5 linked regions of the Solanum lycopersicum genome follow. The main gene of each other region encodes a partner of the protein of the gene in region 5 in a complex. Links are inferred from orthologs where the notes say so. Each region holds a gene or a part of one and is shown on either strand. Other genes may lie near its edges. The genes, in order: WPP domain-interacting protein 1, RAN GTPase-activating protein 2, RAN GTPase-activating protein 1, myosin-15 and WPP domain-interacting tail-anchored protein 2.

Region 1 (6,229 bases), on a different chromosome or scaffold from region 5:
CTGCCATGTAGTAGAAAAAATGTTTCAGAAACTTTTTTTTTGGATAGGTAATGTAAGTGTACTATTGATGAGAATCCGCAAAAAGGAAATGCTGATGCATAGTACACTAAAGATAACTTTATACTGTGTATATAAAGTCACTATCTGAGGGCCTATCGAATACAACCTTCCTACCCTATAAAGGTAGGGTAAGGTTTGCATACATCCTATCTTCCCCAGATCCCATGTGTGGGACAATACCGGATATGTTGTTGTATAGAAGTCAAGATCTATTCCTTGTACTTATTTAGTAGTTACTTGGTTCTGATGAACCCATAAGTTATACACTACATTTGGCCCCTGTTGAAATGCTTTCATTTCTGGCCAACTATGGTCCTCTTGTATTGAAATGCCGATGCTACTACAGAGTTCCATAGCTGCTATGACTTCTGCATGTAAAGGAGTCTCTAAAGCAAGAGATACTGTAAAACAGTGCTGAAGCCGTCTTTACATTGGCTGGTTTGGTCTTTTGATGATGGTCGGACTCAGTCACTCATGGAAGTGTTAGTCGAGATTATGTGCACTGTATGGCCTTGTTCGAGGCTGCTCTTTAAATCTACCCTCGTGTGTTCAGTGGACTAAGCTTCACATTTTCAAGTGGTTGAATGGATTTATCTCTCTGTAGATAACTTTGATCTACTAAACTAATGGGGACAAAGTTTGTCCAAATGCTTGTAAGAACTCAAACATGGGGGATGTCGTCAGTTCCTGTATTGCCCTCGAACTTTTCCATTTTTCACCATTTAGAGTGGACAACTATGACCTTAATTTGACGTTAGTTGACAACTATGACCTTTAACTTTAGTTGTGCATAAGTAGACACTTAAAACTATAATCTTTAACTTTACGTGGCATCCTACATGTATTACGTCCTGTAGTACACGTGTGTCTACTTGTTCAATTTTATACAAGTGTAAGTGACTATTTGTGCACACTCAAAGTGGAAAGGCATACTTATTCGTTGAAGCCAATTTAAAAGTCATATTTATGTATTATTCTTTTAGAGTGGGTACCTCTTTTGTTGTCACTCGAGGTACAATATTAGCTTTAGAATCAATTAATTTGGATTCGTGTTGGAAATTGCCATGAGGTGAAGTGTTCCTTATTGAAGGAAACAAAAAGATAGAACAATCCATTTATTCGAAGAGAACTCTTTTGTTTTTTTGAAAATAAATGTAGATCTTATTCGTGAAGATAGAGAGATCGTTTTTCAAAAATAAATATAGATCTTACTCGTGAAGATAGAGAGATCGTTTTTGAAAATACAAATATATGGGAAGGTAACAATTAAATGCAACATGTTTCTCTGTCAAATACTCTGGCAAAGTGCCTAATTATTTCCTCTCACACAAAGAAGATTCCATCAATAATTGAACACACAGATTTGACCTCCACTTAGTTATTTCTGCAGTGTCATTTTCCATTTTTTTCCCCTAAAAAACACTGCATCATGTGGGTTTCCACATCATCTGCACACTACTTTGCCCCACTTTGGTCTCTTTATCTTCTTGGCTCTCCCATGTTCTATCCACATCCTTTTATTATAATCGTGACGTCTGAGTTAGTTTATACGTATCTCGATTATATTTTAATAAGATATCTACTAATCTTTACCTCCCATCAATACATATATGTAAACTTTTTTCACATAAAGTTATGTACAAATGAAAAGATATTACAAAATTTATATTCGATACTTGCATAATTCTTAACTTAGTTCATTAATCTAAAGGAAATATTTCACGTGGACTAACACAACTTTATTCATTATAAAAAATAAGTACAAAGAATAGTTTTTAACCAATTAAATCAAATTGGTTGTGTTAAATTTTTACAAAACTAATATGATTTCTTTTTATATATATATTTTTAATGATTTGATTGATATAATAAGTTAAGCTAACGTTTTAATTTTGGTTACCGTTGTGTAATAGCATGTTATAGAAATTATCACATTTGTACCAAACAAAACAATGTTGTTGATGAAACGGTCACATTTGGTATTTAAGTTAAAAAGTATAATCTTCTATCGAGATTTCAAATCGTGCACTACTAATATTCGACCTTTCTTAGTGATATTGCACTTAGATATAGAATATATTGTGACTATGAGTTATACACGTTATGAATTTTAAACATCAAGTTAGAAATTTAAGTGGAAGATAATAATAAGCGAGTTTATTGCTTATTGAAATTTCAAATCGTGCATCATAAATATCGAGTTATTGTGTAGTGATTCCATCGCAAACATAAAGTAATCCCCCAAATTCTTAATCTTTCGTAATGTCAATAGTAAATTAGAAAAAAAAATTGAAGTTGTCAACTTCTTCCTATAGTTCATATAATAATTAATAAAATTATTGAAAATAATAATAATCAATTACGTATTATTAACAACTCCCAACCCGACCCGATCTACCCCACTCCTTTTCAAGTCGTCTTCCCCAAATTATCAGTTGTAGCAATTTTGTGGCTATAAATTTCTGAATCCACATCAAATCTAGGGTTTCCATATTCCTCAATTCCATCTCATTTCTGCAAATCCATCGATCATGGAGGAGAAGGTATGAACGATTTCGTATTCTTTTTATATAGCTTCACAAATTTATGAATTCATTTTTAGTTCCAAATTGAGCATAATCCATTCATTTAGCTGAATCCACTTATTTTGCTGTTGTTGTTAGTGTTTTTAGCTGGAATTTTTACTCAAGCTATGCAATTCAATTTATAGTGAATTTTGATAGATTTTCAGTTTCCATGAACTGGAATGATGGTTGTTTGTTTGTTCTCGATCTTGATCTGAGTTCTTCATTTCTGTTTTTTTCATTTAATAATGAGTGCAGTTTAATCTGCTTATATTGGACTTTCTGTTTATGTAGTGTTCTGTCGCTTTCCCAACTTTTATTTGTCTATTCAGTTCATTATCAATTTACTGGATTCATCTTTGGTTCCAGATTGAGTATAATCGATAGTGATGATTTGTTTAGCTAAATCCAATTAGTTTGTTGCTGTTAGTGTAATGATCGGATAATCCAATTCATTTATCCAAGTTATGTAAGTAAATTCTCGATCTCGATCTGACTTATTCTTCTTCTTTATGTTGTCTAAAAGGCTAAAACCCTGAACTTTATGCTGTAATCGAACTTGATTGGTCAAAGTTTGGAGCTTTAGTTGGTGGAAGACATGAAGCAATGACCACCACACTTCAAGATTTGGATGATCCAGATCGGAACAAGGTTGAAAGCAATGGTTCCAGTGTTATTAATCACAATACCCCTATTTTAGATGAGTCTAAAGGTAAAGGTATTGAAACTGCGGACCCAGTGGGTTCACCTCCCTCAGTGAAATCCTCACCAACAGCTAAAGGATTTGGCTTGAAGAAATGGAGGAGGATCAGGCGGGAAGCACACAAGGATGAGGACAGTAACACAGACAATGCTAAGTTGTTGAAGCGTGGTTTGTCGAGCTCTGCTGCAAACTCAGCAAAACCTGTACATTTGTCCACTGGATCGATCCGAAATAGTGATGGATCTGTTTCTTCAGTAAATGCACTATTGGGTAGCCCTGATGTTCTTGTTGATGGCTTTGGTCTTATTGGTAATTCTGGGTTGGCGATTCATCCTATATTTTTGGGTGGAACAGACTCGGAAAATAGTGAGGATCGGAGTAGTAGGTCTTCGACTGCAGCCAGTGCTCCAAAGTCAAGGTACGAAGCACCTGTTTTCCATGGTTATATGCCTGTTAAGAATGGGCCAGGTACTTTGGGTGGGAAGATGGGTACTTCAGCTCAGCAATCTCATCGGGGAAAGGGTCAGGCTGAAATTAGTAAAAAGCCTAGAGGAGAAAGGGTCAAAATAGAGAAGGAAAACTCTCATTCAAGCATGGAATCCGACTCACAAAGCTCCAATTTTCTACCTATGCAGAGTAATAATCATGCAACAAGTAATGGTATGAAAGGTGGAAGCTCAGTGAATAATGATGGACAATTCAGTGATGAAGTTCTCACCAGAGAAAGACCATTCAGCGAGGAACTTCAGACTGCTCTAGACAGAAGAAATGATAAGGAGTGTGAAACTCAAGAAGATCTAGGCGTTGAATCCGCCTGGGAGGTTAAAGAAGAGAGGAGTGGGTATCAGGGGTTGTCCACAGATCATGATCCTCTGCTGGAGTCTATCTTCACCCTTCAAGCTGCTCAGGAAAATCTTGAAAGAGGTAGATCTTCAGTTTTCTTTGAAGTATACGATTTTGAGCCTATTCTAGTATGTTCTTTTTTTGGTTTTGATTATGCCTTCTATTTTCTGCTTGGAGTCTTCAGCATATTGTATGAAGCAAATTTCTTTTTTGGGTGGAAGTTTATTCTAAGTTCAAAGAAGTATTAGAATGATTGCAGTCATTGCATAGTTATGTGCGACGTCCCCACACCCCGCGACCCGGACGCGTCCCTGCTTTCCCCAAATTTGAACATTTTGTTGTCATGCCCAAGAATTTAGGACTGGCATTGCTTCAGGAAGAGGTGACAGCAAGTCATGAAATTCGATCTGATGTAGTATTGGTAATCTTAATGGTTATGTACATAATAGAAGGATTTGAGTGTGTTCTAATGGTTTTCGCTATGATGCATTTATTGCTTCAAGAATCAAGATTATGTCAAAAGAGTTAAGGTTATTGAAACAATACCATTAAGTTCTTCAGTTTGCCTAAAATAATCCTTTAACTTTGTTCGTAGCTAGTACAACAGATGTTGGTTATGCTTTTTTTTATTTTTTTATGATGAAATATTGGTTATACTCTTTGAAAAGTTGATATCTATTTGTTATAATAAATTCTGATATTGCAACATTGAAGGTGGATAAATGTGTTGCTATTTATTATTTTGATATTGTTGGCTTGCTCAAGATATGTAGTTTAAGCACCAGGACGTGCATTTTCATTGGCTGTAATTAACATGTTCTGTTCTATTTTTTACCACAAAAAAGGTTTTGGAGGAGAGATAATTCTGTCCAATTTAAGGCATGAATAGCCAACATGTTTCTTTGGAATATGGGGAGTTAGAAGGTGTAGTGGTTTACTTGGGACTTAAAACTACAGGTTTTATTCAGCCGAAGTTGAGGAAGTGATTTGGGTAAGAAAAGGTCCTGATAAAAATACAAGGATTTTTAAATGCCTCGGAATATTTTCCTGTTACAGTTTTCTGTTTCTACAAATATTCCTGTGGTGATTGGTATAAAAGTAGGGACTCCGGAATAGAAAGAGTATCTCGAGGATTAGGCTGTTTTTGGTGTTTGTATTAATTGCAAAGCAGCAGAACAGTCAAGAAGATGGAGAAGTAAAATCACGAGGGAAAATGAAAAAATTGTCTCAGAAGTCTCATAATACTATATCAAATACTGTAACGAGGAAGAGTTAAATAAATTGAAAGAATGGCTACACCTGATCTCTTTCTGCAATATGATAAGAGTATCCTATGCTCCTTGAAGCAAACAGATTAAACTTAAATCCGACCTAAAGCTCTCAATAGCAAATGGTAAGCTGATTCTAGTAAATATTGTTCTGACTTTCTAATGGACCCAAGGGCTTTTATATTGGTGAAAGGTTATTGGTCTCTCTTTCTATGAATGGCTGCAGTGCAAAGCATAAGGACCAATTTCTTGCTTCTTTTTTTTTGTCGTTAAGCTTGCCCTGCTTTTGTTGCAAGGAAAATATGCAGATTGGGATGATTATCTCATGCTGTTCTTGAGCTCTTTAGACCTCTTTTAGTTATTGTTTCTTTAGCACTTCAGTCACTTTGTTTACATGTATCTTCTGGACCTTCTTTGTGCCTTTGACTTCATCAATCTATATTTACCCTTCAACCCATAATATAACGAAGAAATCAGTTACTCCATCTAATACCTATTATCTGATATTAATTAGTTTGCATGCTTTTCTCTGCAGAAATTCGGAAATGGAAAGAAATTAGAATAGAAGATGATGTCATTGACCATTCTGTTCGGGATGTTGGTATTATTTCAGACTTCAGTTCAGGTGACACAGATTTTCCTGGACCAAACACATCTGAACAGTCACAACCCAGTAACGGTGTGCAACATTCATTTAACTCGTTGGAGTCTGAAGTAGTCAGCTTAAAGCAGAATGTTATACTATTGCAACACAAGCTTAATGATGAAGCAAACTTGATTAAGTTAAAGGA
Region 2 (6,319 bases), on a different chromosome or scaffold from region 5:
CATTGTTATGTATATTAGGTACATGCTTACGTTCAGATGAATATTTATAATTCAAAGTTAAATCAATAACATGTATATTATTCTCCTTCATTAATATACACAATAAATACACACAAATTCTGTGTCTGCCCTTCTTCAACTCAATGTATATAAGCAACTCTATATTGTTGTAGTATATATATAACATATATATTTTTTTAGAAAAACTAATGTTGTTGCATCGTTTCTTTAATAGGGTGATTTTGAACTTAATATATTTACAAAACAATAAGTAGAAGGGAAATATAAGCTAATAAAAAGATAAATCAAATTTTTATTTTTATTAATTAAATGTAATGATGTGTATATTTATTTTAATTTGATGAGGTTCAATTATGTAATTAGATGTATCTCACTAATATTACTTTATAGATGATATTTATTGTGTATTTTTCTTTTTATCTAATCCGCCACTGGTCATAACTCATTGAAAAATCGCACTCCTTTCAAAAAAGTCACAATTTATCGAAAAATCACAATTTTTTAAAAATTCACAACCTAAGTTAAGAATATCATAGTAATTTAACATTAAGTTAGGAGTTCATGCTTTTAAGAATATATATATATATATTATATTGATTTTTTTAAGGATACTATGTTTTTTATGATTATTATATCTTTGATGAAACATGAGTACTTCAAAAAACTTATAAGTTTGTACTTTATTTTTTTTTATGTCGTTTGAATAAAAAATCTATGTTAATAATTTATTAACCTAGCACTTCATATGAAATATTTGATTTCATAATTATGATAATATTTAAACATTTTTATTCCAAATTAGAAGATTCAAAATATTATATATTGTATTAATTTTGTATAAAAGTAGAACAAAAAATCGACGCATATGTAAAAATAATCATAGTTAATACAACCGTTATATTAAATTTACTCAATGTATGTGTTGGACATATTAAATTTTAATTGTATAAGAAAATATATAGATGAAATCATGAAAATGAGACGTTATTGTATTACGTGTAATTATAGTTATATTGCAAATTTTAACTTAATTTAATCTTGTTAGATGTTAGTTTATTAGCATTTTAATATTAATATTTAACATATTAAATTGCTCACTAACATCATATAATCTCGTGAATAGTTTAAATTTGCTAAAGCCTAAATGGCTTAAAATTATGATATTGTTTAAAGTAATATTATGATGAACATAATTTATTGCTTTCTATGTTTATGATAGATAAAAATCTAATAATAATAAGAGATATAAATTAATATAGTGAACAAAATTTGTTATATTCTCACTTTTAAATTCGACAATATAAACACGAAAAAGTTAAAAGAGTAGCACTTTAATTTTAGAAAATTTCAATTTGTGTAGAAATAGAAGTGTAGTAGGAAGTTTTGAAACTTTTTAGTTGGATAACCATTATTTTTTTCAAAATAAAAATTAAACCCCATATGACTAACTAATAATATACGTGTTTTTTTTTTTCAAATACAATTTTGTAATTTTATTTTTTGTAGCGTTGACACGTAGGTACTATAAAAATAATATTTTTAAAAAGTAAAATTACAATTATTTTTTTCAAAATAAAGATTAAAAGCCCTCGACTAACTACCAATAAACATGTCTTATTTTTTTTCAAAACAATGTTATAATTTTTATTTTAAAAAAATATTATTTTTTTGGCGCGCTATCACCTATATATATATATATATATATATATATATTGATGGATTGATAATTATGACTAACTATCAATACACGAGTTTTTTCAAATACAATTTATAACTTTTATTTTTAAAAAAATATTATTTTTTGTGGCGCTTACGCGAAAGCACTATCACCTTTCCTGTTATACATATAGATTATTTTATGAGTGATTTTTTGAATCTATAAATATAAATATTTCATACTTATAAAATACACCGTAATAGAAAAAGAATTATCTCCTTTATCTTCATGTCTTGCCATTTTCAATTTATAACTATATTGTTATGAGCTTAATTTTGTAATAATTATTCTCATTAAATAAAAAATATTTTGAAAAAGAAATCCAACAATTCTTTGATTTTGAATGATTTGTTTATTTTAAACTAAGAAAAAAAGTTATTATTCAAAATATATATATATTTTTTTTACATTAGGTTATCTCTCGAGTACAAGATAGTCGAATATAAAAACACTGTTCCCACACAACACACAGCACACATTGCTAACTTCATTTTCAGTTGAGATTTTCTTCACTTCCACTCTCTCCGGCGGCGCGTCGAACTCACACATTCTCTCTCGTTGTTTGCCGGTGAGTTACAACACACTCACTCCAACGGTAATTAGAAAAATCCCCAAAAGTAATTTTCTTTTTCTCTTGATTTTTAGGGTTTTCGCGGTTATGCTCTGTATGAGTCAACTTTTTTGGTCATGTGATTTCACAGATCTGTGCTGGATTTTAGTATTTTTTCTTGTTTAATGTGCTTTAGTTTTTGCTTTTATGTAGTTTTTTTATGTTTATTATTTTGGGGTTGGTAGAGTAGAGGTTGCAATTACTGGGAGGAGGACTACACTCTACAAACCCCCACTGTTAGGTATAAAGTTTTTATTTTTCTCGTGAAATTTCTTTGTTTGTAGGGGAAAAAGAAGGATTTTTGTTTTGTATTACAAGTTTCTGGTGTTTTTAGCGGCTCTGTAAATTGTATATATGTTGCTCTGTTCTGCTCATATGATTCCTTGGTAATGTGTGGTATTTTTTTTTGTATCCTAGAAAGTTTTTTTGTGTTATAGTGTGAAATGTGAATATACCTGGGAATGTACCATTTTTGGTTTTTGAGTTTTTTTTTACATTGTTGGATATGAATATGGTGCATTGCAAGGTGGTTATAAAATGAGAGAAAATTCAATCTCGTTTTTGATGATGGATGACTGTAGAAACTTTCCCGTTCTTTTAGACACCTGCTTGGTGTTTTGTGGCGAAAATATTGAGTTGTCAAACAATTATATCTGATTTCTATGACGAAGAATTTGAGCTCTTGAAATTTGATTCGCTTTATGTTAAGTTTTTCTTGTAGGTGTGCACGAATTGTTTCTTGCCTGGTACTTTGTTTTTTGGTTGTTATGTTTTTAACTGCCAGAGCTTAATCTTATAGTGGTTATATTTCTTGAAAGATAATCACTTTATTTTTCTATAGAAACTAAAGACACGATTCACTATATTCCTTTCACTCTAGGTTTTCTGCCAATGGATGCCACAACAGATAACTCTCAGCGCAGACCGTTTTCAATTAAACTGTGGCCTCCAAGTGAGAACACAAGAAAAATGCTGGTGGAAAGAATGACGAATAATCTTTCTAGTCCAACCATTTTCACCCGCAAGTACCGCAGTCTATCCAAGGAAGAGGCTGCCAAAAATGCTGAAGAAATTGAAGATGCAGCTTTTACCATTGCTAATCAACATTATGAGAAGGAGCCTGATGGTGATGGAAGTTCTGCTGTGCAACTTTATGCCAGGGAATGTAGCAAGCTTATCCTGGAAATTCTAAAAAAGACTCCCAAATCAGAGGACAAGGAAATTTCGATTTCTGAGGTAGTTCCTACTGTTCAGGAGACCTTTTTTGATATCTCAAAAGGTAAAAGGGCTTTTATTGAAGCGGAAGAGGCTCAAGAACTTTTAAAGCCATTAAAAGAGCCTGGAAACTCTTACAGCAAAATTTGTTTCAGCAATAGAAGCTTTGGTATAGATGCAGCACGTATTGCAGGCCCTATCTTGGCAACCTTGAAGGATCAGTTGAAGGAAGTTGATTTGTCAGATTTTGTTGCCGGAAGAAATGAGGCTGAAGCACTTGATGTCATGAATATATTCTCAGAAGCTCTAGAAGGTTCTAACTTGAAGTTTCTGAATCTCTCTGATAATGCTCTTGGTGAGAAGGGAGTTAGGGCATTTGGAAAGCTCCTTCAGTCTCAAACCAACTTGGAAGAATTATTTTTGATGAATGATGGGATTTCACAGGAAGCTGCAAATGCTGTTAGCGAGCTAGTTCCTTCCACCGAGAAGCTTAAAATTCTTCATTTTCATAATAATATGACTGGTGATGAAGGGGCTGTTGCGATTGCGGAAATTGTGAAGCGCTCTCCTTTATTGGAAGATTTCAGGTGCTCTTCTACCAGGGTAGGTTCTGAAGGAGGGAGTGCCTTGTGCGAAGCACTTGGGATGTGCTCCCATTTGAAGAAGCTTGATTTGCGAGACAATATGTTTGGTCCAGAAGTTGGTCTTGTGTTGAGCAAGGCACTCAGCCAACATGAAAATCTTAAGGAAATTTACCTGAGCTACCTTAATTTAGAGGATGAAGGAGCAATTGCAATAGCTAACGCTCTTAAAGATTCAGCCCCTTCACTTGCTGTCTTGGAGATGGCAGGTAATGATATAACTGCTGAAGCTGCTTCAGCAATAGCTTCTTGTATAGCTGCAAAGCAGCTTCTTGCCAAGTTAAGCTTGGGTGAGAATGAACTCAAGGATGAAGGTGTAATTCAGATTGCCAAGGCATTGGAAGGACACAAACATCTGACTGAAGTTGATATGAGCAGCAATGCACTAAGGAGGGCTGGGGCTAGGGTGCTGGCTCAAACTGTGCTGCAGAAAGATGAGTTTAAATTACTAAATGTTAATGGGAATTTCATCTCAGAAGAAGGCGTTGACGAGTTGAAAGAGATCTTCAAGAAATCTCCTGAAATGCTTGCATCCCTGGAAGATAATGACCCGGAAGGAGAAGACGAGGGTGACGAGGAGAAAGAATCTGGAGATGAGGACGTTGAGGATGAACTAGAATCAAAACTGAAAAACCTGGACGTCAAGCAAGAGGCAAGTGTTGACGCACACGCACCAGATAGCAATTAGAATCCAGTACTTGACGATTTTTCTGCATGTGGCAGTTTTAGTTTTACCATTTTCTTTATGCTAAGCTGGCCATATTATGTTCCTCCAGCAAGTGCTTCTAACATATAGTTCCATCAGTAATTTAAATTTGGTGGAATTGAACTGTTGCCTTAATTGGTCACGTTAGGTCTCTAGTTGAACTATGTAGGGTACGAGAGAGAACTACTTTTTATTTATGTTGAACCTTCTTTTGTGTTATGTAGACTTTAATCTTCTTCTTTTCTTTTAAAATTTCCATGATGCATTTGACTTGTTTTTTTTTATCGGTGAACGAAATACGTGTGCCGGAATCATCGTGAAGTCCTTGGTCTACTTCCATAATGCATTAGTATTTTTCACTTTTTCGTCCAAAAGATAATGTGTTTTTATGAAAAAATTGTTACATGAATTCAAAATAAATAAATAAAGATGTCATAATTTTTCAAAAAAGTAAATAACAAAGTTGATAATAGTAGGCATTTTAAAGATTTAATTAGGATAGAAGAGGGAGTTTGCTTCTTGTTCAAAGTTGAAAGGCTGTTTAATTTTTAAAGTAAAATTTGATAGGCAATACAATGCCACATTCTGGGTCTGTTAAATACTGGACAAGAGTACAGCCTTCAAAATAGTGAACTAGCTCGTAACATCAACTTGAAAATATGCTGGACATGGCAGCCAAGCTACTGAAACTTAATCCACCATTGACTCCAAATTAGAATAATTAAGAATTGTAGCAAAAAGCTAATGGTACATCTCCAATTTTTCCACTACTGCACAGTTAACTAGTAGCAAATGCAAAACCTAAAAGGTATTAGATGCTAATATACATGTAAGACACTGAGTCAAACAGACGACTAGAACCATAGTTAGAGATCTTAAATGCTCCCCTATGTCCACTAATGACTTCACTGGCCAAATTAATTCCTAGGTTTTACAAGGGCAACCTCAGGATATTAAGCTTGATCTCCTCCTCCTGTGGGCCTTCCACGATAAACCGTCCACACTATGGCCAGTCAAATCGTGATAATCATTTCTCATGGAACTTGCACTCTCGGATTTGAACCTTTTGGGAGTTCTTCCATAGGTATCTTCACTTGTTGCCTCACTCGCCACAGACACAGTATCGGGCTTCAAGTCATGTCCAGTCCTCTCAGAATCAGCATTGCCACTAGGCAACTCACCATTTGAGACTGACTGATGGTCCCTGTTCCTGCCTTTACTTGATTGCGTAAAGAAATCATCTCCGTTCTCCACAGCCTTCATCCACTGTACATCACTTAAAGTATCGGCATAAACCACTTCCTTTCTACGTCGCTTTCCAGTGATATTAGCACTTTCGTATAAGAATCCTTTTCCCTTTTCCTTAGAGTCAGGTGTAGCATAAGCCCAATCTGGTACCTCATGATCTT
Region 3 (6,102 bases), on a different chromosome or scaffold from region 5:
TGGAGCAACTCAACATGATATAGACATAAGCATTGGGTGGCCTAGGAAAAAATGTGTTTTCCAAAAGAGAAGGGAGGTTTAGTATTCAGGTCATTGCATGATGCATCAAAAGCTTTTAGTGCAAAACTTTGATGGAATTTCAGAAGTGCAACAACTTCATTATGGGCATCCTATATGTGGAACAAGTATTATAAAAAAAAAAAGCATACTATAGAGCATAACATTTGGTGGCTAGTTAAATCGGGTAATTCTAATTTTTGGTTTGATAATTGAACTAAACTAGGGGCATTGTGGCATGTGGAGAATACTAATGCAGGGAAGAATTAGAGGTAATTTTACAGTCAATTCAGCCTAGGAAATAATCATATCCAAACATGAAAGGAAGGCATATTATCATTTATATGGAATAAGGGGCTACCTTTTAAAGTGAATTTCTTCTGGTGTTGTGGAAAAAAAGAATTTCGACTGATGATAATATGAAGATGATGAAAATTCAGATAGCGTCTTGATGTTGATGTTATTCAGATAAGAAGGAGGAAGTAATGACACATGTTTTTCTAACAACCCTCCATAAACATCATGCTTTAGAAGCAATTTGCTAATTTTGTAGGTATAAATATGGAGAACAAGCAATTACAACACCTAATAATCACCTGGTGGAAGCAAAATCAGAATGCCAAATTGAAAGTGGTGTTGAATGCAATGCCAACAATCACCTTGTGGACAATATGGAATAGGAGGAATAGCTTGAAGCATGAATGAACTACCACATACAATGAAATAGTGATGAAAGTACAAGAAGCAGTGAGGAAGCTCATCAAAGTATTATACCCCTGGATACATCTTAGGAATGACACATGGCCCCAGATTGTCACAAATTTAAAAGAGTACAAGCCTAAACTATATGATCACTATGTAATTCGAAGGAAACCTGAAAGAAATAGAGTAAAATGCAAAACAGATGAGGAGACAAAAGAAAATCTCGGTGCAAAATCAATAGGTTTTGTGGTGAGAGATGCGGAAGGAGACCCGTTATATACAAGGGTGAAAAGAATAGGCGAAGCAAACAACATGGAAACATACATGGAAACAAAATCTCTTACTTTGCTAGAAGCAGTTCACTATTGTCAAGAGGAAGTTTTAAGAGAGGCTATAATAGATTCAGGCTCACTATGCGTAAAAATTGGTGGAACGAGAGTGGAAAGTATCGTGGGACATAGTAGAAAGAACTGAGGAAATCAGGAAGGTCATTCAACCATAAATGCCTAATCACACATACTTTTAGAGAAGGAAATTTTGCGATAGACTCTTTGGTTAATGAAGTAGTAGAATCGCAGGAGACAAAAAACTATCAATTTTTTCAAGAGCTACCAAGCATTACAAGGAAATATCTAAATATAGAAAAGGCGCATACACCAACTAGAAGGTGAAAACACACAAAATGAACATTCAATGGAAGCAGTGCAGGAACATAAAGGAAATAACATAAATAAACATCACGGAGATAGTCACGTAAACAGAATGCATATTTAAAAAACATCAGACACAAGAGGAAGCATAAAGCACAAATATTTCAAGATGAAGTATGCTTCTTAGAGGGAAGTAAAATTGAGCAAAACAAAGCTACAAATAGAGTTTCTAGCTATAAAAGAAACTTTAATATAAAGGGGGCTTGTTGGTCAAATTATTTGAGTTGGGAGTTAATGACACCAGGAATAAACGGAACATCAAGCGCACAATCGGAGTCAAATATGAGCAAAAACGAAGCCCACCTATGATCCCTTGGGACTACACCTCGATCTGAAAGGGAACGAGAATCAGTAGCTCATACACGAAAGAAAAAGAAGGATATAAGGACGAAAATCTTACATGTAAGCAAGGAGGGCGGTAGAACTTCAAAGGCATTCAAGGAGCTAGATGGAATGATACCACGTCAAAAATCACAAAGATTACTTGGTCAACCATGAAGGAGACAACTTAGAAACGGCGGAGAAAGGATGGAAATGGGGTAGGGTTTTAAGAAAGTCAAGTGAAAGGATAGTTGATGGAAGAGTTTTGGAAACTCTACATATTATTTCCTTTTGGACCCGGGTACTACTTTTTGGGCCAAGTCATTTGTTGTTTCATGTACTAATCGGGCATTAGCCTACACTAATAAGATGATCTTCTATCAAAAAATTAATTTTAAAAAACATTTTAGTGAATTATGATTATACAAAGTAATAAAAAATCTTAATCGAACATACCAAGAGGTTGCTAAGATATCGGAGATAACAATATTAGATTAAACCATCATAAGAATCAATAATAGATTCAAATACAAACATCTACTGCAATTTAAAATAATTCCCCAAAATATCAATAGGTAATGATGACCTTTTGTGGATATTTTCAGATTAATAAAAGAGATCATAAAACTCTAGATGAGGAATTCAACGGCTCAGGGGGAAAGAGAACCATGAATAGAAAAATCCCAAGTTGAACGATTGTTATAGAGTTTGAGAGCGAGAAAACAATTAAACAGATGAATATTTTTAAATATTAAAAAGAAATAGAATAGAAATGAGATTTAACGAGTGTAGTATAAAAAACTTTACACTATAGTGCACACAAGTTAATTCTCCTATTTCAAATAGTTAAAAGAATAATTTTGGCCCTTTTTGTGGCTTAAAAAAAGGGGCATTTTCCCTCCAAATCGAATTCCTCAAAAATTCACGACAGCAGCACACGACTATCATGATTGCACATAACTTGTATTTGAATTAGTTTTAATTATCTCTTTATCTTTACTCCAACTCCACGTCTCTCTCCCCTCTCTTTTCTAGGGTTTTTTGGATCTCTCTCTTATCCCACTTCGCCACTTCTAGGGTTTCTTCCAACCAGTAAGTTTCCTCTTACTCCTCTCTGTTTACATTCATTCATGAAGATTTTAGGTCTGATTTTGTTTTGTATTGTTCCATTTGTCTATTCCTTCAATTATGGTTGCATTTCCTTCTTTTTTTTCATCATTTGAATGATATTTTCTGCTTCGTTTTAACGAATACTGAGACTCACTTTTAAGTATTTGAATTAGAATATAGTTTATGTTTCAGTGTAGATTTTGATGGAGTTCAATGAGTTATGCCTCAAATCTTAGAATAGTTGATGTAGACAATGTGAATCATTTGTATCTGTTCTGCTCTATGTGTGCCAGTTTTTAGTTTTGTTTAGTATATTTAGAAATGGACATTGAAGGGAAATGCATTTTTTAATGATGGCCTTAAGGATGAAGGTGTTTGGTTGGATTTTGTTTGTACTAAAATGGAAGAAATGTGATATAGTGGGATTTGTGAACTCTTATTCATGGCTCTGCTGGTTACACTTATTCCTTAAGACCTTCAGTGGCAAGTATTATTGTTTTTGTTTTTCTGTAGTACTCTGTAGAAAACTTGAGAAGTCCCAGTGATTTGAAAGAGGCATGCTTAGTTCTTGATGGCTCCTTCTATCTAACAACGCCGGACAAATGAAATAGTACAAAATTTGTTTTGATTCCGTGATCGATCAATCTTCGTCTTCAAGAGGAAGGGAGTGAGGGAGAAGCAAAAGATGGAGTCTTTAGTCCTGTGGCTATCTGAAAATTTTCCCATTAATCAACACAAAATGCCAATAAATCTATTTCTTATTTTCTCTTGAATTCTATTTGAATTATTGCTTGATGCAAGGGAAAAACCAAATGCTATAAACTCAAAAACTTTGAGATATGAACTCAAAAACTTGCTCGAACCTTGACTAATTCCATGTGGTACCTTCTACCTTCACCAACACAATTACCAGTTAACTCTGTCAACCAAGGCTTAAACAAATAAGAAGAAATCACCTAGTGTTTTTGCTGCTGATGGAAAATGAACTCATGATCTCATGGTTCTCAACCCCTTTCCTTGACCACTGGGACACACCCTTGGGTGCCTCAAGCATAATGAGTTTTTGTGTGATATTTGCTCACAAACTTTAGAAATTACTTTGGGAAGTAAAAGAATAGTCATCTTGAATCATGGATAGTAGCTTATCATAAAAGTGCATTTTCTTTTTATTTGGAGATGAGATGGCAGCAAAAATGGAATAGTTCACCACCTTTTGTGAGCCTTTTGGCCCTCTACAAAAGGGAAACAATAATACTTCAATAGATTAATCGAGCTCTTAGCCTTCTAATGGTAAGTGCTTAGATTTGCTCAACTGACAAGATATAACGGTTAAAAGTCTGAAGTCAACTTCCTTTTTTGGATCAAATATATGATTTATCATTTAGTTAAATACATTGTATTTGGTGCACAGGGGAGATGTTTCGTTTGAGGAAGATATTACCTTATTGCACCAGTGTGATGCTTGTATGTAATTTTAACTCTTGTGTCTGTGTTTTGCAACTTATGACCATGACCTGAATGTCAATATGCACGATCCTTACTGTTATCATATGACTAATATCATTTTAGAAGTCTTGCATTTATTGGTCATTCTGCTAGTGCAGTGAGATAAAATAAATCTGCTGATCAAGTGACTGCAAACAAGATGCCATCTGTACTTATTTTATGTGCATTGCAGCACCTCAGCTGAAAAGCTTGGAAGGTGCTGAGAAAAGACAAGAAATTGGAACAATTTAATATTAACTGACGTCAAATGTCAGAACTCAGAACTGTTTGTTGCTACTTGCTTGTTGTGGGACAACTCATGTTTATTATCCTGAGGATATATACTTGTAAGAAACATTATTCAAATGATAGACTATGGAAGAAATCTTCCTTTTTCTTTGAAACTCAAAAGTAACAGTGCTGTGTGGAAAATAGCGAAGCTTGTTGCTGATAATGCTTGGTGGTTAATTGTTAGTCTTGTTTCCCATAGTACTTTCTTGTGGAAAGTACCACTAGGCAGGTGCGGATCCACATAGAGCTTCGGTGCTCGAGCACCCATGGACCCCTACGTGAAATGTATATAGGTATATAAAAAATACTATGCAACCTATATAATTAATTAGTAAGCACCCGTTAAATAACTGTTGGATGTGACTCGTTGGTTAGTAAGTGGGTGCTGAAGCTGTGGTACCGCAGGTCACGAGATTGATCCTCCACAAGTAATTTTTATATACTTATTAAGCTGTCTAATTTTCTATGTTTAGCATAAGATATTCACGAGTGTAAGAGATGTTATTATTACTCATTTTAATTTTAAAATGCGAAAAGTCGTCGAGTACATTATAATTTGACTCAGTCTTCTTTCCCGATAGTAATATTAAACATGACTTTTGCGTTAATGTTTTTCACTATTGTGTTTAAATAGTATTTGCACTTGTACTAAATGAACAGTAAAATTTAATGTTAAAAAAAGTGAAGCACCTACTAACTTCAGATCCTTGATCCGCCACTGCCTCAGATCCTTGATCCGCCACTGCCTCTAGGTATATCTTATCAATGTGTAATCATTTATTGAAGTGGGTTGGAATAGAATTATTTGTGATTGTAGTAATGACATATTAGATTTGATCTTATTCTGATCACGCAGGTGCTTTGGCATAATCTTTGCACTTATTTAGATGTTAAGAAAGTTATTGGATAATCATTTTCTTGCATGTGCCTGTAGAAGGATTCATTTTCCTTCAAGTTTCCTACACATTTTGGAGGATTTAACATAGAGGAAGGTTTTTACCATTTTTCAGACAACTTTCATAAATGCAAGAAAGTTAACCATCTGGCCCCTTTCTTGGCAACCACACCATAGTGTTAGTGTAACAATTTGTTGGGCTTCTTTTGGAAAGAAAATGCTCACTAATTGGAAAAATAAATAAAAGCACATCGACAATTGTTGAAGTGCTTATCTTTTGAGCTCAGTCACTGACATGCTGAAAACATACATATGTACCCTAAGTTGCTCGGACTTGGGTGCGATGTCTGATACGCGGGTGTTGATCTAGATGTCGGATCCTTCATGATCAAAATTTTACGATCCAGGGGTTTGTATACCGGTGCAAGGTTCAGCTAAAATAATTTAAATATCTAAATGTTGGATCCTTTATGAGACATTATGTTGAAAACGTCAAGGTATTCCGTGGAGAAAATACTAATCAAGAGGAGA
Region 4 (5,537 bases), on a different chromosome or scaffold from region 5:
TTGCAGCAGTCAGATATGACAAACACATCAAGTCACTGTTATTTAGCACTCAATTGCTCAAGATTGCACCATGGCTTATCAAAACTTGGACAAATCAAAGATAATATCCAAAGAAATACAAGTTGGTGTAGGAATTTACTCATAAGATAGCAACTACAAGAGCAAAACAAACAAATGGTATATAATTTAATCATGTATCTTCGATAATCTGCAAAATGCACTTGCGCAAAACCTAACTAAGAACTAAATAATGAAAGAATCAAGGAGTTCGACAAAGACCAAGAAGAGTTTAAAATCCAGACATCTTTTACAACCAAGGACATTACATATATTACCTTCAGAACTTCATTGATTTCGGCAATGATAAAGTCAAAAATAGCAGTCCTCTCTGACTCAAAGGCATGCCAATGAATAAGGCACCTATAGATGACACAAGCAGCAACTGGCTTTCCATCTTTAAATCCCAAATTCTCCTTGATACACCTTGAAAGAATTTCACAGTTCTCCTGCAAGAGAGACTTCATTTTAAAGCAGCATACATTAGAGCCACCATTACTTAAACCTTTTGCACTAGTTATCCACCAAAACTACAGTTGCGGGTGGATGATAAGTAACACAAAAGGGGACTCATCACTGTTCCCTCACAAGGGAAATTCATTCTTTTATTTGTGTTGTTTAGAACTTGAAGGAAAGTAATGAGATTTCATCCTCTATAATCCTCGTCTACTACCCCAATGTTAGTATCCTTCATCACTCATGTTCCTAATTTCTGACACTTTGCACACACCTCCCCAACAGTGATAAGCAAGCAATCATAGCAAATAAGAATATCAATCATCACTAGTTGGATATGGAAAGCAACCTGCTGCCTTTCACTGGTCAACTTAGCTCTACGTGAATCAGAAAATCCTTGAGCAAGAGGCGCTATCATTTTTGTTGGGGTGGGAGATTCCTAACAAACAAAATAAGTGTGTTAGAGATCAAGGAACATAAAAATAGAACTATGTTCTTAAGCTAACACAGCAAAAAAAAAAGATACATACAAATGAAGTTTTACGATCAGCAGAGGGCAGAGCGAGTGCACCAGAGAATTTCTGCACAAAGGGGACAAAAGTTTATTAGATCTAGAGGAACGGGAAGCGAGGAAGAATTATCCACCATGGATTATACATTGCAATTTAAGAAATTACAGCTTACATCGCTAAAAGACTTGGCAAAACCTGGACGATTGCTTCTCGGAGTTGCACTCAATGCTTTCTGTCGGAGGATAAGATTTTCATCCTCTGAATTTGAGAGCTTCTCCTCCATACTAACATAGAGAAGATGCACATGTTTTTAAACAACTGGAAATCAGCCAGTTAAAAAATTGTATATGGTAGCACCGCAAGAAATGGATGTAAATAGAGACTGAAAATCTACATTCCTAAAACTTAAACAGATATCGTTTTATTTCCTAAAATATGTATAAAGTTTTACCAGTAAAAAGAGGCAGAAGACTAACTATGTGATCAGATTGCCAAACAACTCCTCTTTGATATATCTAAAATTACCTTTTTAAGTTCTGTTGGAGTTGTGAACATGTCTCTTCAACTGCTCTCAACTTGGCAATTGTGTCAGTAGACTCTTCTTTACCCTTTATTAGCTCATGCTCCAATGCAGAGTTCTTTTCCTCCAAGGCGCTCAAAGAACTCTGCAAAGCCACCAAAATAAGTATCAACGTCAAGTCTTTGGGCCTTCTTATAAGCTTCAAATTGTTAAAGAGCATCCTTTCTGCTCTAAAGAAAAACCAAGTATTTAAACCTTTAAAGTCATAGTATACCAAAACAGGCAAGTAGTCTAGAAGCAGTATTTTGTTAACTTATTTAATCAATCAACAAAAACATACCCGGTGTAATCCCACAAGAGGGGTCTAGTGAAGGTAGTGTATAAATAATGCCAAATGTCAACTAATCAGGAAACATATGATTATCTGATCTACTAGTAATTAAAGAAAAATTACTCGTGGCCATAGAAACCCTAAAAGCATCCACCCACCCAAATCCAAGTACCCCTGCCCCAGAGAAAATAACTGTGAAGAAAGAACAAATGCAAATATTTTTTCTTGATAACAAAGAAATCCTCACGGCCTATGTCACATGGTTTGAAACTTGCTGGATAATTGGCCTGTTACTACACCATTCTCCACTTATATGCTAAGCTTTTGTCTACTGCAAGGTTCGAACCTATGGCATGTGCCTAAATCCTAGTCCACACATCATGCATTGCGCTGTGGAGGTACAGGTATGGGTCGCCCAATTCCAGTTCAAATCTCTGTTCGTCCTCCAAACTGTTCACCTTAGAACTGGTTCAATTATTAACATTGTATCAATATCGTATCTTGTACTTAATTCAGATTCTTCAGGTTGAGAAAGGATAAAAAATTATGAATTGTATATGTTTGGTGATACTTGAAATCAGTTAGACCTACATGGAAATTGCTGCTACTATGTTGTAATTATTGTTATAGCTTTTGGGGTTGAATTAGGCTCAGGTTTCATATATTTGCCCATCCCAGTTTGTTGTTTACCGATATTGGGCACCCATTTAAAAGTGTTCACGATCCAGTTGAGATCTGGCTGTGCGGGGGAGTATTAAGAAGTCCCACATGGGTAAAAGGATGGGAATTTGGTCTCCTTATATGGACTTGAACAAACCTCCCCTCATGAGCTAGCTTTTGGGGTTGAGTTACGCCTAGGTGTCATATCTTTACACTTCCCATTCTAGAGAGTGACTGTGAGACTATTAGGTCAAGATGCTTTATGAAGTTCAAGTAAGAGGGGTGCTTAAAAGATGCTCTCAACATCTAGAACTAAATTTACAAAAGGGCATTAATCATCAATTTCAAAAATGAGTCTAATCAGAGTTGTGGATGCAAACAGATACAGAAAATCACACTGATATGACCTTCAGAAATATATTTTCATTTCTCAACTCGGTCACGGAAAAAGTTTCTCTTTCCAAAGCAGCTTTTTCCTTCATGTATAATTCCAGTTGTCTCTGGAGCACAGCATTCTTATTGACCTCATTGACTGCAGCCAGCTTCGCTGCATCTAACTCGAGGATTAAAGATTCTACAGTCTTGTTAAGTTTTGAAATTTCCACTGATTTAGCCTCCTCATTTGATAGCTGCATCACAATGTTCAAACAATATTTCATTCCATTAGCGAGCAAAATATGGTGAATTTGATAAAAAAATCACTACTGAAGCGATAAATCATTTACATATAAGTTAATCACTGGAACAGTACCCGTAATTTTTTTTCTAATTGCAACCTCCAAGTAAGATCCTCCAACTGCCTTTCAAGCTTGGTTTTTGCTAGACGGAGAGCACCAGCTTCGTTAGCTTCCTGTACAAGGGGAAAAATATAAGTGTCAAACTTTTCAATAAAAATAACAGCTGAACTACATGAAACTTGGTGGAATGGAACTTCATCACAGAAACTTGGAACTTCAGCTTTATTATTATCTATAAGGATAGCAAACCCACAGGATTGAATCAATATTGAGAAGATCCTGTATTGGCTATATTCAACTAAAGTATATAAAAGGAATTTGCTTACATATCTCTGTAACATTAGTTCTTGTGTCTCTTTTCAGATGGGGCAAGAGAAACATATAGAATCTCAAGCAACAGTAAAAGAAAGAGCATCAATATCCTAAAGTTACTGTAAGCAAAAATAAGATGCAAATTGAAATATCCTTGTGGAAAAGTGTATATGTGTTTTCATGGGAAGCATAGTTTTAGCATCGATGTAGTTTATGTTATAAGCAGAAAATAATGCAGCAAAATAAAGATGATCCGACAAAGAAAACAACAACCCTAACATGGCAGTCCTTTTAAATGAACAGTCTGATGACCTGACTCGTACAGAAAAGGCAACAGATGACATCATTTCTCACTTGACTGCTAAAGTCAACTGTTTATCACTCATCTTACTCACAGAACTTTGTAGCTAACATCTAAATCACTCGAAATTTGTGTCCTAGAAGGCTATGGCTAGACATATTCTGGCATTTTTCTAATGCCTTATACTAGCACAAAGTTGGGTAAAATTACTCTGGACTTAAATTTCATTAATAGACTAATTGGCATGATCACTAAAAGCAGAAGGCTAATCGTTGTCAATTCTTCGTATTACAGCATTGCATTTTCAGCAGATGCAATAATAAGCTTCTTTTGAATAAAAACAGACTGACCAATTGACATGGTCACCAGTAGTGGCAGGCTAACATTGTCATGTCTTCGTGTTACAACATTGCATCCTCAGCAGATGCAATCATAAGCTTCTTTTGACCAAAAGCAGCATGCAATCAACTAAAACGTTAATTCATTCCATGAAAACATTGACCATCCAGCTTACAACATTTTACATGCTTACTAGCCACTTTTATCACATTTTTGTCCTTGTAAATGAAGATATCTCCATCAAATGGAGATATTTCAAGCAGAGATTTGTTGGTACACACGAAGCTAGACATTAAAAACAGAAGTACTATCCTTCTCACCTTTTTGAGCCTTCTGAACTCCCTTGTTGCCATTTTTCGCCTCCAAAGACATTGAATTGCAATAATATTGGAATGACGATGACGAAAAGCAGAGCGAATCTTGCACATTCTCCAATGTGCCTATGCAGTAGCAGAAAGAATATCAAGCATTATCTTAGAACAATTTCTATTTTTGTTTTTTTCCTTTTCTTTTGGTGAGGGGACAAATACACAACTGTATCCCTCTAAATAGTGCTAGTTTGAATTTTAAAGCACAAATTTATGAATGTATAAGATATATCAGGTGGCAAAGGCATATACTCACCTGAATGATAGTAGCAGCCTTATTCTCCTTCCTATGTAAGAACTTCTGTCGAGCAGCAAAACCACGAGTGCAAGACTGTATTAGCAGTGCAGAAGCATAAAGTTGCTGATAAGCATTCCTCATGATCCACTGTCGCACGTATTTTTGGATTACAATCACAGACGATGCTTCCCGCAGTGCAGTATATATATTACGAGCAATATAACCTGCAAAAAGAAGGAAATGTTTTCAAGCCTCATTTAGTGCTTATTCCAAATAAAAGACGGGAAAAGCTACCTGACATTAGCATTAAAACACATAAAACATACAACTATAAGCAAATAAAAAATACACACGTCAAATCACACACTGTTGGGACCAGTCTGGAGATTTATCTTTTTTTTCAGATATGATAAGTAGGATGTATAGTTTTCTCAGAGCCAATTACTAGAAAAAAATATATAGTAGACCAACAATTACAATAAAAACACGATCTGAAGAAAAATCATGACAATCTATTTTACTTTTTTACGGAAAAGGGTCAAAACTGCCCTTAAACTATGTGAAATTGAACAATAATGCCCGACGAGTTAATAGTTTGGTCCACAAATGCCTCTATTGTTACTTAATGGGTCAAAAATATTATTTTCCTGATAAAGATAGGAAAAATTACTTGAATGAATGTGTTTTAATAAATAATTACTGATTT
Region 5 (6,029 bases):
AAGGTGACTAACATCATTGATCATGCTGATAACCCAAAGCAAGAGAAGACAGAGGCAAATATTAGTCCAAGGAGGAAGCATAGCTAAGCAGAAATTTAAGAAAGAACAAAAGGTAAAAGTATGATAGCGGCGCGAAAAAAAGGGGAAAAGAAAATGATAGGGGATCGATTAGAAAACCCTACATCACAATAATATATAGGTCAGGATAAAGAGAAGAATGGGCCAAGAGTTAATAATTTATTTGTTTTTTTTTTCGTATTGGGCTAGTGAGGGGTGGGCTTTGCATGTGAAGGTGTACGAGAATGTAACTGTTACATTATTTTTTGGGAAAATTTCATATATGACAAACGGATGTTATGAAATTACATTCAATGGGTATAGTTTACATAATTACATTCCATGGGTATATTTTAGTTTGTTAGGTGACTCTAAATTTGTATAAAACATTTTTTCAGATTAAATTTATACAAAAAAGTTATTTTTCAATAAATGGTAACAGTAGCACAAAAGATGCTAACAATAAATTCACATAATCCCATGATTTAAGCAAAACATTCTAAATCATATATTTCCCTCAAAAAAAGAATTCTAAAGCTATAGAAAGACAATAACAGTTCAAAATCAAATATTTTTTTTATTTTTTTTAGATAAATCTATGAAACACACACACAAAGATATATTTATATATAAATTGATTATATTGTATATATTTGCGAAATTGTATTTAATTTTTATACAATATTTGTGTGTAATTGATTTTGTGTTTTAAACCGTATATGACCATCATATATTTTTTTAATTTTTTTGGGTAATCTATTTGTATAAAATATTTTATTATGTTCCTATTTTATTTTTTTTGTATAATTCTAGGAGTTTGTATAATGTACAATAATTTTGGTATATATATTATAGTTATATATGTGCATCTGTGATTTCATGTTTTTTTTTTAAATATTAATGATCAAACTGATTGTATATAATATTCATTTGTTAATTGTATATATAGTAAGCTTGAAATATGTTTCTATATTTGAGGGTGTAACGTTTATATATACAATATTTTATTATGTTGATAATTTTTTGTATATATCGACGAATTTGTATAATGTATTATAATATTATAGAGTGATTTTAACAAATTTCTTAATACAAAATTAAATAATTGTATACAAATAGCTATTGCCTCATAAGACTTTGTATATGTTACCTTAATATACAACCCGCTATATACCTAACTTTAGTAATTGATATTCAACTAATAGAATATACAATTACGAACTGTTTCACAATACCTTGTATATATTAACTTAATATACAAATCACTATATACATAACTTTGTAATTTGTATATAAATTACACTACCTGATGTTCTCGATATTCTTCAGATTTGTCCAGTTCTGATGAGACAAATTCAATCTCTTCTGAATCAATGTTTATGACTTTTCTCTTACTTCCACCTTCAACAATTTTAATGCCGCTAGATTTCGCGTTGTTGATGACTTTATGAATTGCCATTGGGTCATTTTTTTTCATTGATCTCAATTCTTCAATAGATTGTTCAACTTAAACTTGTTTATGTTTTGCCATATACCCTACATTAACCTAGAATCCTGAGTTAACCCAATTGAAACGAGGGTGGATTATCAACAACATTGACATGCAATGACATACCTCTCGTAATTCTCATACATGGACAGAAATTAACTATTCTGATTTTGAAAGACTTGTAATCTGATAAGTAATAAAGATTTTTTAAAAAAAAATATGAAAAAACTAACAATCATACTACATATACAATTGTTATAGAAGGAATCAAGAAAAAAATATTGAAAGCCATGAATTTGGCGGTTACCTACGAAAAGCGGAAGAACATCAGAGATAGAAGGTCAAAATTTTTTCAATGGAAATTCAAATTAAAAGAGAAGAGTAATTTTAGGAAAATATATGGAATGAAAATAGGAGAGATAAATTTAATTTTAAATAAAATTATATAAAAATCTTTAGATGACTATTTTTATTCTGTATACAAATAGATAGTAGTCCCATTAATTATAGCAAAAAAAATAAAACTATATTTACTGACCGTAAATAAATTAAACTATACCCTTATTAACTTATTACATAGGGATGTTTGCCATCCCATGTAATTTTCCCTTATTTTTTCAGTATGAATAAAATCCCAATTTTTTGATAAAAAAAAAGTAAATTTCTAAATTAGTCCACCTCCTATTTTTCTAAAAAAATTAGAAATAACAATTTAGGTAAGTTTGAATGCAATGAATCAAATATCTATAAAGAAAAAAAGTATAGGTACTAAATAATTCCATTTATTATGCTCTTAATTGCAAACTAAATGAGTCCTATAATTAGAAGTAATTGACAACATTTTAGTCACCATCAAAGGTTCTAGTCAATATTAGAATAGTAAATGCTCTTTTTTTTCTTAATTAGAAATTTTGAAATGATACTCTGAATATTGAAAAATAATTTTTTACTTTTTATCTCGAGTCTAATTGAGTCAAACCTCATAGAAAATATCAAATATCGAAATGAGACAAAAAAAAAATCATCTTAGCCTTAATTTTAGCATTATTATTTTATATGTTATGATTGTTTGGACCCCAATAGTCTAATCCTCAATTATTAAGTTTTTGGTATCAAAACAACTATACCCCCACCACCACTTACCCAACGTGCGCTCCTCCAACAATTATTTCATTTTCCACTCAAATTTCTCCTTTTTTTTTCCTTTCCATTTTCAAAAAAAAAAAAAAAAAAAACTTCTCCAAAATCAAGAAATCTCAAATTGCAGAGGATGAACATTAATGTTTATGGTTTCATTCTTGTGACCAATAATTAATGAAGGTCATTAGATTTTGTCTCTTTTTTGGTATGGTTGCTGACGTGGGGTAATGTGATTGGTTGGTCTGACTGTTGTGGGACCCACGTTAGTAACATTTTAGACACCAACCCCATAAGCCTAAAAATATCTCAAAGGTTGACCCTTTTGTAGATCACAAATATTCTTTGCCACTCTATTCAAGTTATTGTTATGAGAATAAGAGCCATTTTTTATCTTTCATGTTATTAAGGTATGTAGTGAAAAATCTTGTTTTGTTTGATCTTCTTGTTGTAAAGATTGAAGCTTTATTGGTTCTTTAAGGGAATTTATAGTTATGTGTTTGAGAATTGTGTAATTATAGTGTTTTAGTTGAAATAAAGGTTTCTTGTTCAGTGTTTGTACATAATTTCTTGTGGAAAAACTTTGAGCTTTGACTAAAACAAGAGATGGACACATGTTTTTAGTATGGAGGAAGTTAAGTGTTGTTCTTTTTTCTTGAAAAATTGATGCTTTATTGGTTCTTTTAAGGCAATTTGCAATAGTTGGTGATAGTTATATTTGGTTTATATCATAGTTTGGAGAAGTGTTTGAGAATTTTACTTACTTTTTTGTGTAATTGTAGTGTTTTGGTTGGTAAGAAGGCTTTTTGTTAAAGGATAAGCAGGGTTGCTAGGATGACAAACATTCCTTTACCTCTAACCCTGAGGTTGTGAGTTCGAGTCAAAAGAGCAAAAAAAGGGTGGTAGCTGTAAGAAAAAAGTTTTCTTGTTTAGTGTTTCTTGTAAAGATTGAAGCTTTATTGGTTCTTTAAGGCTATTTGCAATAGTTGGTGGTGGTTATGTTCTACTTGTTTCATAATTTAGACAAGTGTTTGAAATTCTACTTACTTTTGTGTAATTATAGTGTTTTGGTTGGTATAAAGGTTTCTTCTTTAAGAACAAGCAGGGTTGCTCGGACTATAAGAATTCCTATACCTGTAACCCTGAGGTTTTGAGTTTGAATTACAAGGAGCAAAACAAAGGGTGGGAGCTGTAAAAAAAAGTTTCTTGTTTAGTGTTTGTACTTTAATTTCTTCTGGAAAATCCTTCAATTTTCACTAAAACAAGAGATGGACACAACAATTTCTGTGTTTGAGTTTGGAGGAAGTTAAATTGTGCTGCCACTATTAATATGAGGCCATAAGTACTTAGAAGCTCCATGTTCTGAAACATTAGGTTTCGTGTGACATACATAGTTGAAGTCACTAAGTGAAGCTATGAGGGGAGCTAGGCCCCCTTAACCGTTAGATTACATTGTATAGATAAGATCAAGATTATTTGTATGTGGATATAGTGTATGTTGAATCCACTTGGTTTCTTAATGTGTCTACTTCTTTTTAATTTGAATTCTGTTAGTGATAATCCTGCCTACGCTCTGGGTACAATGACCTGAAATAGCTTGTGTTGACAGTTTGGGTGATTTCTTGTTTAGTAGGTAGATAGAAGAGAAGTTGTGTGGTCGAATTCTCAACAAATATAAGCAATTTGATGTCTATAAATGTTTGGATACAACTCTAATGTACTGTAGGTAGATGAACTTTTTCAATAATCCTTATTATCATTTTAGCTAATTAGGCCTCGTATTGCTCTAGTCCTAAGTTTGATATCTGAATCTTCCTCGTGGTTGTCTAGCTATTTCAATATTTTCTCAAAGAACAATGAGGCAACAGATTGTTGCACACTGTTCTCGTTCAATATTCAGTTGCACCAGTGTTTGGTTTATTTTTGAGGAGAAAGTGAGAAGATTGCGTCAAGGAAAGTCCTCACAAAGCCATGAAGGTATGGTTGAAGCATGAGTGAAGAATTCGGATTGAGTATCTGTAAATAACCAACTGATTAGTTCCGTTGGTTGGATAAAAGATGTTATGGGGTTGGACAATACAACAGCATACCTTTACTCCAGACAAACTTGTGGTCTCAGAACATGTTATGTTTGTATAAGGGGCTCGTGGAGTAAAATTTTCAAGCATCTGCTCATCGGTGTAAGCATGAGGATGATCTATATGGGGTTTTTAATGTCTCAATTACCTTTCATCATGTTTTGTTTCCATTTCTCTTTTGGGCGTTATCGTCTTCCTATCGAACATTGACTTATACTATTACAAAAGAAATGCGGTTTCTGTTAACTTTGTCAAAACCATGTACAGCTGACTAATTGCCTTGGCACACATTAAAGTACAAGACATAGAGAGATGTCAAATCGAGAATATAAGCTTATTAACACCTTGTGTTTGCTATATATCCCTTCAAGCACTCTTACGCCTTTTATGTGCCTACTTAATTCATTTGGTCTGATCAATTTGGACCTGCATTCTCATCTCGTTATGCTTTCCTTCCCATTTGCAGCTGCCTTATCAGAAGTGCTGATCAATGGCAATTGAAGAATTGGCTGTCCGTACTTCTGATATTGTCAATCCACAAGTAATGGAAACATTGTTGATTGAAAATCACTCAAGTGAAGCCAAGGACATGGAAGAGATGAGGAGTTCCATGGAAATATTGAGTAGAGTAGATTTGGACCTTGCGTATTCTGATGAGAAGTTGACGAATCTTGACAATCTCTTGATGCGTGTCTTGGCCTGCGAAAATGAAGTTGAAGCAATATCTTTCGAGAATGATGAGATTTCTCCTGAATCGATTGAGAAAGTTCTGTCGTTGGATCACTTATCTATCATTTTGAACTCTGAGATAAGACAACTGGACAATTTCTTAGGCACTCTTCAAGACTTAGTCATTGAAGCAAGGCAAAAGATACCTACGCGCAGAGAATTTAGTGAGCTGCATGTGATAATGGAGAACAAATTTCATGACACTGAAGAGTTATTGAGAATATCGAAGGAACGTGTCCTAGAAATGAAGATGCAGCTTGCCAAATTGCAGATGACCTCGCTAGCTTTCGACCAAAATGAATGTAAGTTGTGAAACTCATTAGGTTCAAGAACGTGTTTTTCCCTCTCGTTACTAACATATCAAAGACATTACATCTTTTTCTGGTGCATGTATTTTCAGGGAGACATAGGATGAGTTTGGATTTATCAGATATTAATAATGTTTCAGCAAGAGAATTGAAGCCACACGCACAGACAGTTGAGCAAAGACGTATATTAAGAATGTTGGAAAAATCTCTCGAAAGAGAGCTGGATCTTGA

The links.
Region 1: WPP domain-interacting tail-anchored protein 2 (region 5) and WPP domain-interacting protein 1 share a complex: the UniProt entries of both Arabidopsis thaliana proteins name them as parts of the ran complex. The link is inferred for Solanum lycopersicum from reciprocal best matches to the Arabidopsis thaliana genes WIT2 and WIP1.
Region 2: WPP domain-interacting tail-anchored protein 2 (region 5) and RAN GTPase-activating protein 2 share a complex: the UniProt entries of both Arabidopsis thaliana proteins name them as parts of the ran complex. The link is inferred for Solanum lycopersicum from reciprocal best matches to the Arabidopsis thaliana genes WIT2 and RANGAP2.
Region 3: WPP domain-interacting tail-anchored protein 2 (region 5) and RAN GTPase-activating protein 1 share a complex: the UniProt entries of both Arabidopsis thaliana proteins name them as parts of the ran complex. The link is inferred for Solanum lycopersicum from reciprocal best matches to the Arabidopsis thaliana genes WIT2 and RANGAP1.
Region 4: WPP domain-interacting tail-anchored protein 2 (region 5) and myosin-15 share a complex: the UniProt entries of both Arabidopsis thaliana proteins name them as parts of the LINC complex. The link is inferred for Solanum lycopersicum from reciprocal best matches to the Arabidopsis thaliana genes WIT2 and XI-I.

Annotation. Positions count from the first base shown.
Region 1 is NC_090809.1:845,285-851,513, forward strand, and holds the start of WPP domain-interacting protein 1, read left to right. Parts: upstream 1-2,258; 5' UTR 2,259-2,603; intron 2,604-3,150; 5' UTR 3,151-3,230; coding exon 3,231-4,251; intron 4,252-5,973; coding exon 5,974-6,229. UniProt on the Arabidopsis thaliana protein: Mediates and enhances the nuclear envelope docking of RANGAP proteins mediated by WIT1 and WIT2 in the undifferentiated cells of root tips.
Region 2 is NC_090800.1:74,924,831-74,931,149, forward strand, and holds RAN GTPase-activating protein 2, read left to right. Parts: upstream 1-2,211; 5' UTR 2,212-2,306; exon of another isoform or gene 2,307-2,355; intron 2,356-3,228; 5' UTR 3,229-3,239; coding exon 3,240-4,892; 3' UTR 4,893-5,158; downstream 5,159-6,319. Other genes in the region: probable ATP-dependent DNA helicase CHR12, read right to left, coding at 5,856-6,319. UniProt on the Arabidopsis thaliana protein: GTPase activator for the nuclear Ras-related regulatory protein Ran, converting it to the putatively inactive GDP-bound state.
Region 3 is NC_090808.1:59,910,341-59,916,442, reverse strand, and holds the start of RAN GTPase-activating protein 1, read left to right. Parts: upstream 1-2,597; 5' UTR 2,598-2,882; intron 2,883-6,102. UniProt on the Arabidopsis thaliana protein: GTPase activator for the nuclear Ras-related regulatory protein Ran, converting it to the putatively inactive GDP-bound state. Plays a role in spatial signaling during cell division.
Region 4 is NC_090807.1:50,256,016-50,261,552, forward strand, and holds part of myosin-15, read right to left. Parts: intron 5,056-5,537; coding exon 4,850-5,055; intron 4,666-4,849; coding exon 4,546-4,665; intron 3,387-4,545; coding exon 3,288-3,386; intron 3,166-3,287; coding exon 2,944-3,165; intron 1,691-2,943; coding exon 1,551-1,690; intron 1,310-1,550; coding exon 1,198-1,309; intron 1,095-1,197; coding exon 1,044-1,094; intron 953-1,043; coding exon 863-952; intron 519-862; coding exon 336-518; intron 1-335. UniProt on the Arabidopsis thaliana protein: Myosin heavy chain that is required for the cell cycle-regulated transport of various organelles and proteins for their segregation.
Region 5 is NC_090804.1:5,113,166-5,119,194, reverse strand, and holds the start of WPP domain-interacting tail-anchored protein 2, read left to right. Parts: upstream 1-2,602; 5' UTR 2,603-3,093; exon of another isoform or gene 3,094-4,863; intron 4,864-5,227; 5' UTR 5,228-5,251; coding exon 5,252-5,792; intron 5,793-5,890; coding exon 5,891-6,029. UniProt on the Arabidopsis thaliana protein: Together with WIT1, required for the nuclear envelope docking of RANGAP proteins in root tips. Plays a role in nuclear shape determination.